2 linked regions of the Caenorhabditis elegans genome follow. The protein of the gene in region 1 interacts with the protein of each later gene in a biochemical or structural test. Each region holds a gene or a part of one and is shown on either strand. Other genes may lie near its edges.

Region 1 (4,855 bases):
TTACTTCTCCCTCATGAACATTTCCACCTCCTTCGCTGATTTTCATGGATTCGTCGATTTCCGCGTAATATAAATGTTGAGCACTTCCAGATTGATGAGCACCCACAACAAATGTTATTACATGAATTAGATCATCAGGATCCACACGATATCCACATTCTTCAGCAACTTCTTCTGATGCAATTTCTCTAGGAGATAATCCTTCCTTGTCAATTAGTCCAGCACAAAGTTCAATGGTGTAGCCAGTTTCAGAATCATAGCTGCTCCAGTCAATTTTATCAAATTCTTTACCGTGATTCTCCGGCGAATTTGAAATTGATGCGGTGAAGATTGCTAAAAAACAACTTAACGCTCACATTTCAATAGAATAAAATTGGAAACCTGGTCGAAATTGACGAACTAGAAGAAATTGCTCTAAATCTCTATGAAATAGAAGAATGGATACACTGCTCATTTTTTGATTGAATTCACTAACACGTGAATTTCCATCCAATGTGTAAGACATCTCCATTCCTTTCTGATATTTTGATACAAAATCAGTCACAAAAGAGACATCACTAATTTTTGACGCTGTCATCTGAAAATATATTTTCTTATATCATTTAATTGCGGTATCATTCAAACTCGTTTTAGAAAAATACAGGATGTTCAAAAACCAATTTTCCTATTTTCATAATGGTATTTCTCCTATATACGAGCAGATAAACTTTAGATTGTACGAAACAATATACCATAGTAAACATTGAATTGGAAAGAAAATATAACGTTCATTGTGTGATTAATTTTGATCACTACACGTTTTAGATTAAAAAATAAATAAATAAAATGGAATGAAACATCAAATATTCAGGTAACAGTGTATTTAACAGCTTCTCCTTTGAAGAAAAATAATTGAGATCTAGATAGCTCAATGATTTAGTCCTCGTGTAAGACACTGAATGTATGTGTTCTCTCATGCATCGTCTCGTCAAAATCTCGATCCTGTTCCAGCTGAAGAGTCATTGCTGCTAAGAAAGCCGGAATCGAATTTCGGTCGCCAATGTACCTGAAAAAACATATTTTAAGAAGATGCCTCACAACAACGGGGAGTATTTATACTTCTAATAGTAAGTAACCAGAAAATTAACAAACTTTTTCATAAGTGGCTCCCACTTTCGAAGCATTTCAGTAGTTGATTCACAGCTGACATCAAGCATATCGATGCGAGGAGTTCCATAGAAATACTTAAACACGAACTGCTGAGCGGAACCACCTTCATATTCGCTTTGTACAGTGCATATTCCTTCGTCTGCATCTTTCAGTTTGATTTGGAGACCGGTCAGAGCAATACAAACTTGCCGGAACTTCGACGAGAGTTCCTTATGAAGATTGTAACTACTTTCGAGTACTTTTTTCTCACTTTCGCAGTCGTAAAGACGCTTCTCCAATTCAGCAAACTCTTGCTCTCTCCATTGATCACCAGCTGGAGCATCTGTCAACTTTCTTTTCCTACTTTCAGACGCTTGGAATTCATTGTGAGCATCTTGGAGTGGATTAGAAGCCATATGGAAAATCTGTGTACTATTTCCGGCATCGGTTGGAGCAGGTAAAGATGCCGGTTCTGAAGCTGGGACAGTTAAAGTCATGCTGAGAACTTCATCGAGCTGAGATTGAGATTCTTCCAACTGTTTCTTGACCTTCTCCAATTCATTGTTGCTCAACTCTAACTGTTCAGAGAGCCGGCTTTTCTCATTTTCAAGGTCTTGGCTTCTGACTCTCTCGCTCGAAAAAGCATCCTCAAGTCGTTCGTTGCGACGAGCACAGTCTGTGCTTTCTCGCATAACTTTCGTCATTCTGGAAGTAGCTGCTTCAAAATCTTTTTCGAGCTGATTGTTCTTCGTAATGAGCTGAGTGATTCTGTCAATGAGCTGCAGTTGCTTAGCGGAATTGTCTGAACTCGAAGGAATTTTCTCGTCTATATTGAACAAGTTCCCTGCTTGGCCAATCCGAATAGCTTCAATCTCACTCTAAAATAAATTAAACGTGAAATTAGTTTAACAATAATTATTCACTCACAAATGTGCTGTCCAACTGCTTATGGAGAGCTTTCTTCTCAAACTCTAAAGTACGATTACGTTCTTCGAAAATCATCGACCTTTCAGCACGCCCACTCGAGACATTCAAACGATCTTTGAGAACACTGTTTTCCAGTAGTAATCGCTGAATTTTCTCATCTTTCTCGTAATCAATAAGTGATCGATTGGCAATGCAGCCATCAGTCATCATTGTTTGATCTTCTGGCATTATGGTGTTATTTGAATCCTCGAGAAGTGTGAAATTGGATTCTGAAAATACGAATATATTTGCCTGCAAACAAAAGTTTGAAAATTCCGGACTTACGAGGTAGAGTAAAGTTAGCAGCCGATTGATCAGCACGAGCGATTTCTCTTTCCGTTTCAGGAGATGGTGGTCTACGGGTAGCAAATGAAACACCTTCATATTCTAGCAGACTTCCTGAACCAAGTTCTTCTACTGTTTCATCATCATAATCGAATTGTTCAAGAGCCCTGTACATCTGTCTTGGAACTGCATTCAATCGTGTAACTTCTTCGTCGTTTTCAAACTTTCCGTCGTTGTCTATGTACAATTTCACAGATTCCAGCTGAGTATTCGCCATTGAGTACCAAGTGTAGTATTTTTTGCCGAATGCTGTCCAAATATCAACGTTTCGATTACACTCTGCGATGGTGTCATCTCGTTCTTGCTTCAGAAGTTCGACTTGCTCTTGCAGCTCCAACATTTTCTCACGATTCGTCTCCAGATCAATGGTTTTTTCAGCCAACTTCGCTTGATTCGTTTGCATCATTTGTTTCATACGTTCGTGATCTTCACGGAGTGTTACCAATTGACGCTGTGCCGACTCTTTTTCTTTTTTTGCACTTGCCAATTCGATTGGAGCCACTAAATAAAATATTTTAAACATTTTTAATAAATGGATTAAGTTAATTTACCAGGTGAGAGTGTCATATCGAAATTGATTTTTCTGGCCTCCACCGGCGCATGTCGACGAAATGTTGCCTGCTTCAGCTTTTTTTCTGTCTCTGCTTTCAACGGAAACTCTCTTTTGAACTGTTTTTTGATTTCTTCAGCGAACAACATTGTAGCTTCCGACTCTTCATATTCGTCTTCATCGACAATGTCTTCATCGTAATTCATGTCTGAAAAAAATCAGTTACATAATGTATTACAGTGAGCGATTCGAATTTTGAGATAGAGATTAATAATATGTTTAATGCAATCAAGGGAAGTCAAACAAATCCATTCGCACAAAAACAGTTTATCGAATGTCACCAAACAAACTGCGAAGAAATCTTAAAAATAACGTCTTCCCGCCCACTTGCAAGGGCGCGGCATTATGCAATGCTGCCGCACACTTTTCCCAGCAATTCTTCAGCCTCATTTTTTATTATTATTTGGTCATTCGGAAACATGTTCGGACACAAGAACATGCAAAAATAGGAAAATATGATCTTGCGAATAGTTTTTTTTTCAAAAATCCGAATTTTGGGAAGTTTCTTACCTGGAAAAATTGTATTTAAAACAAATTCTTATTTTCATTTTAAAAAATAATTTACTGATAACTGCAAAGTATATGAATTTATTTCATTTACAATTCAGCCGAGTAAACAATACATTCAGATGACATATAAATTAACGGGGCGGAGTATCTTTAGTTGCAATATTCATCTGTGACACTGCTTATTCTTTGTCTCCTGCAGTCTTCTTTGGGAGAAGCACGGCTTGGATGTTTGGAAGAACTCCTCCTTGGGCGATGGTGACTCCAGCCAACAGTTTGTTCAATTCCTCGTCATTACGGACAGCGAGTTGGAGATGTCTTGGTGCAATACGGGTTTTCTTGTTGTCACGGGCAGCGTTTCCAGCCAACTCGAGAACTTCGGCGGCGAGGTACTCCAGAACTGCTGCGAGGTACACCTGGAACATTATGTTTTTAAAAAGTACAAGAGCAAAAGTGATATAATTTGGAAAATGCTAGCAAGTTCAGGTTTGAACGATTTTTTAATCTAGGAAATGCACAAAACACAGCAGCTCTAAAATTCTACATACCGGTGCTCCTGCTCCAACACGTTGTGCGTAGTTTCCTTTACGGAGAATACGATGAAGACGACCAACTGGGAATTGAAGTCCAGCTCTCGACGAACGGGACTTGGCCTTTCCACCGGTCTTAGCTTTTCCTCCCTTTCCACGTCCGGACATCTTTGCTGAAATTAGGTTGAATAACAATGAACTAGAAGTCTAGATGAGCAAATTGGAGGTGAAAGAGAAACAGAAAAGTGGTCTAAGCCGACGAAAATCGATGCAAAATACGCATGCGCACACGCGCCCGCCTCTCTATTTAACTATTTCTCTCGGTGTGGGCGGAGTCTAGTTCCGCGGCAGCGAGAGGTGGGGCCACCGCTGGCGAGTATAAAAGCGCTTCGCAGCGCTCATAGACAACACTCGCCAAACACATCGATTCGTTTCGCATTTTCGTTTCGTGTCTCATTCGATCATGGCCCCACCAAAACCATCAGCTAAAGGAGCCAAAAAGGCTGCTAAGACCGTCAGCAAGCCAAAAGACGGAAAGAAAAGAAAGCATGCTCGTAAGGAATCCTACTCGGTCTACATCTACCGTGTTTTAAAGCAGGTGAGAATATATTCAAATCGAATAAGTTATGATAAAAAAATGTTTTAGCCATTAGCATGTTGTATGTTAAAACTACGTACCACTTAGTACGAACTGCAACGATATAATACCGGTATTTAAAAATCATTTAAATTAGTCTTGGGGGATCATAGAAATCAAAATAATATTAAG
Region 2 (6,638 bases), 710 kb from region 1:
CATTTTTGTTGTTTTTTTGTTGTATTTTTCGATTTTGGAACTCGCGCGCGTGGGAGTTTATTTTTATTTTCAGAATATAATAAGCTTTCATCACTCCCACTCCTAAAATACTCTTAAAATTCATATTTCTTTGTTGTTTCATTCAGATGTAAATTAGTGTTCTCCCCTTAAATTTTTTCCAATAATATTCACCTCATAAAAAGCAGGGACAATTCATTTTTTGCAATTGTCGCGAAGCCTCTTCGTTTTCGTTTTGGGATGTAAACAACTCTAGCATGTACTATCTCGCTCTGTCTGCGGCTCGACGCCGCGCCTGTTCCCTCTCTCCGTCCGGCGTCACCGATCATCCATTCCGCGAAGCAAAGCACGCGCGGCCTTTGATCGAAACGTGCACTTTTCCGTACTGCTGTATACTACTGGCAACACCGATATTCGTGCCCGATATCTAACTCAACCGGAGTCTGGCAACACAACCGTTTTTTTTTTCGTTTTCGAACGTTCCTGTTTAAAAAAAAACGTTTAAAAAAGCTTTTCAATGCTTTCAAAAATTAATTAGATAGAAAAACTTTGTTTTCTATTTTTTTTTTTTTTTGGAGATTTCATCAACAACCCACATACTTTCTCTTTTTCCTTCATCAAGTTGTTTGTATTCGTCTCAAGACCGTCAGTTCAAGACCCGGTCTAACCCTATCGGCGCCTCTGTTTGTTGCTTTTCCTTCTTATTTTCCGGTTTTTCTCGCGTTCACTTAATCAAAAAATCATGGCATTGAAACCACATTCGAAGATTTTCTAATTTTGTTACTGAAAAAAAATCTGAAAAAGTGTCTATTTTTCAAATATATTCCCAATTTAACAGTTAATTCGTTATTATTATGTCTCTAATATATCGTTCCGATCGATTAAATTTAGGCACGTTCCGTCTGCGTCTTTCCACGTATGTGCTCCAGTTCCGCTCCTTCTCCCATGGCGTAATCACCCCGCTTTTTTGTATGTTCGTATGCCAGTCGTGGTGCATAATAATCTGTTTCTCTTCGAAAGCTCAGACAAGAGGCAGTGGCCTAATCACTAACTGCGAAAAGTGTATCAAAACCTCTCCTCTTGTTTTTACGTGATGATAATCCGCGTGGTTCATCTCTTCCTTTCTCATTCTCCGTCTCTTAATGTTTTCTCACGATTAATTTTTTTTCGTTTATAGGGTTTCTAAAGTGGCTTATAATTCAAGAGAAATTCTAGAGAAATAATAATTAACATGATTTCCGTAAATTGAATGCCTAATAAGGTTGAGTTAAAAACCAATAATTAAAAATAAGTCGTTTTTGTATATTTATACAGCCGTAAAATGGTTCTCAGACTATTGAAAATTTATCAACTTCAACCAATATGGTCTTTTTTCGCTTGTATACTTCGGCTCTCATAGTATCCCTATTCAAAAATTGTTTGCCGTTAATTTGTTATTCTATTTCACGTTGTTTTGTTGATTTTTCGATAACAAAAGTGCTCGTACATCACAGGTAAACTTTCTGTTTGCATGTTATACAGTATCGATGTGTATAAAATGCCAGAGATCAAAAACTTGAAATTTATGATCAGTGGCATGGTGTTATCGTAGAAATAATCTTGTTTTCCAAGCGGGCAATTCCAGAAAACCGATATTTTCTTTCTTATTTTCCACTGGTTGTCCGTTCCCGTTATTTCTGCTTCTCCTATCTCTTCCTTGTTGGAAAACAAAAAACCACAGACGAACACTCAGAAAACGATATTCTGAAGCAGCAGCGTTACTCATGATGTTGTTGCTGGGCAGTGTCTGAAAATGTTTTCGTGTTCTTGTTTCCGCTGAAATAGGGTCACCACCTCTTTTTTCTCTAAACTCCTATGTCTCTCTCTTCAAATTCTGTCAATTTCCGTCCCTCTGCTTTGTTTGTCACAAAACTCTCTCGTGTGTTTTTTCGCTTTTCTTTTTTTTTATGTTTTCCTTCATTTTCGAATTAAAAGTGTTAAAACTGATTTTCTTAAAAACATAATGAATCTCGATCAAAAAATATTCTAATTTTCAGTCGAAGACGTTACTTCTCCCGAAAGGTTTACGACGGCGCCGGTGAAAGAATGTCGATGACAAGCTTGTCAACGAAGTCTCGAAGACAAGAAGATGTTGTCATTGAGGGATGGCTTCACAAGAAAGGAGAGCACATTCGAAACTGGAGACCAAGGTTTGATTTTTCTATCGGTACTGATCATATATTACCACTGATTCGATAATTTTTATGCTCGAAAAAGTTAGTTAATGATTTCACATCAAAATTTATCTTGAAAACTCCGATGAGTCTTGTTCTCGTTAATCTTTTTATTTTTGTTTTCTACATAAATTCATATATCCGCTTCATCATATACGTCAACTGATTTGTTTTTGCCGCGCACTCGCTCTTATCATGCTTTTCCGGCTGAAAAATCTTCATAAACGTTTTTATGAAGGGGGAATGATGTGACTTCCTGGTAGAGCAGATGATTCTATGTTTGCTACGCTACATAGTACAACTATTCGCTTCAGAATATAATTATTTTCAAACGACTGAAATTAACCGAAAATTAAAGATATCTATGAAATATTCACGATTGCTAAAAACGTATATCATTTTCCTAACAGACAGTACATTGAAAAATTGAATAATAGCAACACGGAAGTGAAACTGTTGTGATTACAGAAAACTCAAAAAATGAAAAACACGATTTTGTGCAGTATTTTTGGATGGTTTTTTTGTTTTTGAGTGTGCATGTCTTCTATCCATAAGTATGTCACCCTTCTCATTTAATGTTCCAAAATAATAAACACATGTGAACGGCGAGTGAGCGATGCGAAAAATAATCAAATTGAAAAAAGAGAGAATGAGTGAGTGCGGAAGTTGAGAGTGACTGAAAACATTTTAAAAAGAAACTCGTCAGAGTGACATAACAAAAAAAACAAAGATGATAAAAGATTGAAAGTTAATGACGTAGAATAATTTCAGATACTTCATGATATTCAATGATGGAGCCTTACTTGGATTTCGAGCAAAGCCTAAGGAAGGACAACCGTTTCCTGAGCCATTGAATGATTTTATGATCAAGGATGCAGCGGTAAGTAGAGATGAGCTTATTTTTCTAAACATCATTCTGCAAAATCATCTACTTTTGCAATATTTTATTTTCAGACAATGTTATTCGAAAAACCACGACCTAACATGTTCATGGTAAGATGCCTTCAGTGGACAACTGTCATTGAGCGAACATTCTATGCGGAGTCGGCAGAAGTTCGTCAGCGTTGGATTCATGCTATTGAGAGCATTTCAAAAAAATACAAAGGCACAAATGCAAATCCACAAGAGGAATTAATGGAAACCGTAAAAATTACACCTTGATCCAGCTTTTTTGAAAAATTCTTTTAGAATCAGCAGCCAAAAATTGATGAAGACAGTGAATTTGCTGGTGCAGCGCATGCAATTATGGGTCAACCATCTTCGGGACACGGTGATAATTGTTCAATTGACTTCAGAGCGTCTATGATTAGTATTGCTGACACCAGCGAAGCTGCTAAAAGAGACAAAATCGTAAGAAAACCTATCTGATAAAAACCTTTGCAAAAAAAATTACAGACAATGGAAGATTTCGATTTTCTCAAAGTGCTCGGTAAAGGAACATTCGGAAAAGTTATCTTGTGCAAGGAAAAGCGTACTCAAAAGCTTTATGCCATCAAAATTCTCAAAAAAGATGTAATCATTGCTCGCGAAGAAGTTGCTCACACTTTGACAGAAAATCGAGTTCTTCAAAGATGCAAGCATCCGTTCCTTACGGTATGTTTTTTATAAAACTATTTTTATTTATTGATTCAGTTCACTCACTTTTGTTTAAATTTTAACCCCAGCACGTCCTTCTCCTATAATCTTCTACCCCTGAGAGTACAATTATTGTCGTAATTTTTATTGTTTTCCCATAGTGTTTGTGGTCGTATTTTCAGGAACTGAAATATAGTTTCCAAGAGCAACACTATCTTTGTTTTGTGATGCAGTTTGCGAATGGTGGAGAACTTTTTACGCATGTACGTAAATGTGGAACATTTAGTGAACCAAGAGCCCGATTCTACGGAGCCGAGATCGTTCTTGCTCTCGGATACCTTCACCGATGCGATATTGTCTACCGTGATATGAAGGTTCGACGATGAAGAATCTGAATGACGAGCCGAACATAGATTATTTTGTTTCAAAAATGTTTTACAACTATCCGCAGTTGAATTTTACGTAGGATAGCAAGATTCAAACACTTAGAACGTTATGCTATCAACTTATTTATTTTACATTGTAAGTAGTAATGTCTCAGTTTATGTCATGCTTCTTTTTTTTCTTCTTATGGTAACGCTTCTTTTCCGATTCACTAATTTATCTTCTTAGTTCGCAACCCTATAGTTTTTATTCTCTTTCCACGCTTTATTTCTGTATTACTGCAGGAACTGAAATACTCGTTTCAAACAAACGATCGTCTGTGTTTCGTAATGGAGTTTGCCATTGGCGGTGATCTCTATTATCATCTAAATCGAGAAGTGCAGATGAACAAAGAGGGTTTCTCAGAACCTCGAGCCCGTTTCTATGGCTCTGAGATCGTCCTTGCTCTCGGATATCTTCATGCAAATAGCATTGTTTATCGAGATTTGAAGGTTAGAAAAATGTTTATTTATAGAAGTAGAATACAGTAGTCACATAGCGGATAGTTGTAGAACATGTAAAAACTAAGAAAACTATCGGCTCGCCATTCGGATTTTCCCCAAGTCTGTATACAAGTTAAATTATATTTTTTAAGCTTGAAAATTTGCTTCTTGACAAAGATGGACATATTAAAATTGCGGATTTTGGATTATGTAAAGAAGAAATCAGTTTTGGTGACAAAACAAGTACTTTCTGTGGAACTCCGGAGTATCTTGCACCAGAGGTAAAAAAATCTCACTCACTTCTCACATTTAAATGTTTTAATTGCAGGTTCTTGATGATCATGACTACGGACGTTGTGTTGATTGGTGGGGAGTTGGAGTTGTGATGTACGAGATGATGTGTGGAAGGCTTCCATTTTATTCGAAGGATCATAATAAACTATTCGAACTTATCATGGCTGGTGATCTAAGGTTCCCAAGCAAGTTGAGTCAAGAAGCTAGAACTTTGCTCACCGGACTTCTTGTCAAAGATCCAACTCAGCGATTGGGTGGTGGACCCGAAGATGCATTGGAGATTTGTAGAGCAGACTTTTTCCGTACTGTCGATTGGGAAGCAACGTACAGAAAAGAAATCGAGCCACCATATAAGCCAAATGTGCAGTCAGAAACTGATACTAGTTACTTTGATAATGTGAGTTGACTAATACATTTTAAATTTTTTCACTAGAAACAAAGATTTTATTTTAGGAATTCACATCTCAACCAGTTCAACTGACACCGCCTAGTAGAAGCGGAGCCCTTGCTACAGTCGATGAGCAAGAAGAAATGCAATCAAACTTCACACAATTCTCATTCCACAATGTTATGGGAAGTATCAATCGAATTCATGAAGCAAGTGAAGACAACGAAGATTATGATATGGGATAATTTGACACCACAATGGCTTGAATTTAATTAATTGCGATTTTAGCCTGTTTTGCAGACTGTAGAAAACTGACCCCTTTGTCTGACATTCAGATATCCTTTTTTAAACAAATATTTAGTCGTTACAGTGACTATATTTTGATCTATTCTCAGTAAATATCGAATTAAAATGAGAAATCTCTTTGTTTTCATCTCTTCCTGTTCTGCCTCCTTCCCTTTGTATACTATCCTTTTTATTCACCTGAGACCGTAGTTCTTTCCATTTCAAAATTCCATCATCGTTTTGTAATATTACTCACAAGCTACGGTTGTGAAAACCAAATAGCGCCATCATTCGTGGATGTACTATGTTCCTATATCATATCCAACAATCCAAATGAAAGAATTTTATCCTCGTATTTTTATTATGGAATGACAAAATATGAACAAAGAAACATGCGAAATAAATAACAGATCAGTACTATAAATTAGATCTTTCCAGTAACAAACTCGTGAACAATCTGTGGTACAGCCGAATCGAATCCGGTAATGTCGAGCATACCAGCATCAGATGGATCGGCAATCGAGTAGTCATATGCCTGCATTGCCATCACAATGACCTTCGCGTCATGAATACCAGAAGCTTCACGATACTTTTTGATGGCTTCGAATGGATGAATCTCTCCAGCCCAGGTATCGTTGTCGGTGTAGATAATGAAGACATCAAACTTGAGATTATTTTCTGTTGCCCAAGTCATTGGAAGGCCACAATCTGTTCTGCCGAACTGAAAATTCAATAATTTAATATTAAATTCAATATTAAAATCATTATGAAACTTACATCAAGGTTGTTAACGTAGTCATTAACTTGTCCGATCTTCCAATCCTTAGTAAACGGAAGCTCAGTGAGCTTATCACAGAAGGCGACACATCTAACTTCGGCTTCATTGTGAAGGTTGATCAAAGACATTCCGGTAGCAGCTTCACGGCATGAGAGTGGTGACGAACTGACACGAGAGGTCATGCTACCAGAAACATCGAGAGCCAAGCAGTATCGTTTTCC

The links.
Region 2: of the proteins of mdf-1 (region 1) and akt-1, one has a biochemical effect on the other in vitro, tested with the Caenorhabditis elegans proteins (one study listed by BioGRID).

The regions. Positions count from the first base shown.
Region 1 is NC_003283.11:9,541,030-9,545,884, forward strand, and holds mdf-1 (uncharacterized protein), read right to left. Parts: upstream 3,198-4,855; 5' UTR 3,196-3,197; coding exon 2,991-3,195; intron 2,941-2,990; coding exon 2,380-2,940; intron 2,325-2,379; coding exon 2,056-2,324; intron 2,007-2,055; coding exon 1,132-2,006; intron 1,046-1,131; coding exon 916-1,045; 3' UTR 753-915; downstream 1-752. Other genes in the region: C50F4.16 (Uridine diphosphate glucose pyrophosphatase NUDT14), read right to left, coding at 1-333, 382-577; his-35 (Histone H2A), read right to left, coding at 3,739-3,972, 4,105-4,254; his-41 (putative histone H2B 3), read left to right, coding at 4,550-4,684.
Region 2 is NC_003283.11:10,246,853-10,253,490, forward strand, and holds akt-1 (Serine/threonine-protein kinase akt-1), read left to right. Parts: upstream 1-2,052; 5' UTR 2,053-2,103; coding exon 2,104-2,207; intron 2,208-3,002; coding exon 3,003-3,111; intron 3,112-3,185; coding exon 3,186-3,374; intron 3,375-3,419; coding exon 3,420-3,581; intron 3,582-3,626; coding exon 3,627-3,824; intron 3,825-3,988; coding exon of another isoform or gene 3,989-4,180; intron 4,181-4,474; coding exon 4,475-4,681; intron 4,682-4,824; coding exon 4,825-4,953; intron 4,954-5,000; coding exon 5,001-5,363; intron 5,364-5,419; coding exon 5,420-5,599; 3' UTR 5,600-5,993; downstream 5,994-6,638. Other genes in the region: rop-1 (RNA-binding protein RO60), read right to left, coding at 6,064-6,360, 6,417-6,638. UniProt on the Caenorhabditis elegans protein: Acts downstream of PI3 kinase age-1 and kinase pdk-1 in the daf-2/insulin receptor-like transduction pathway.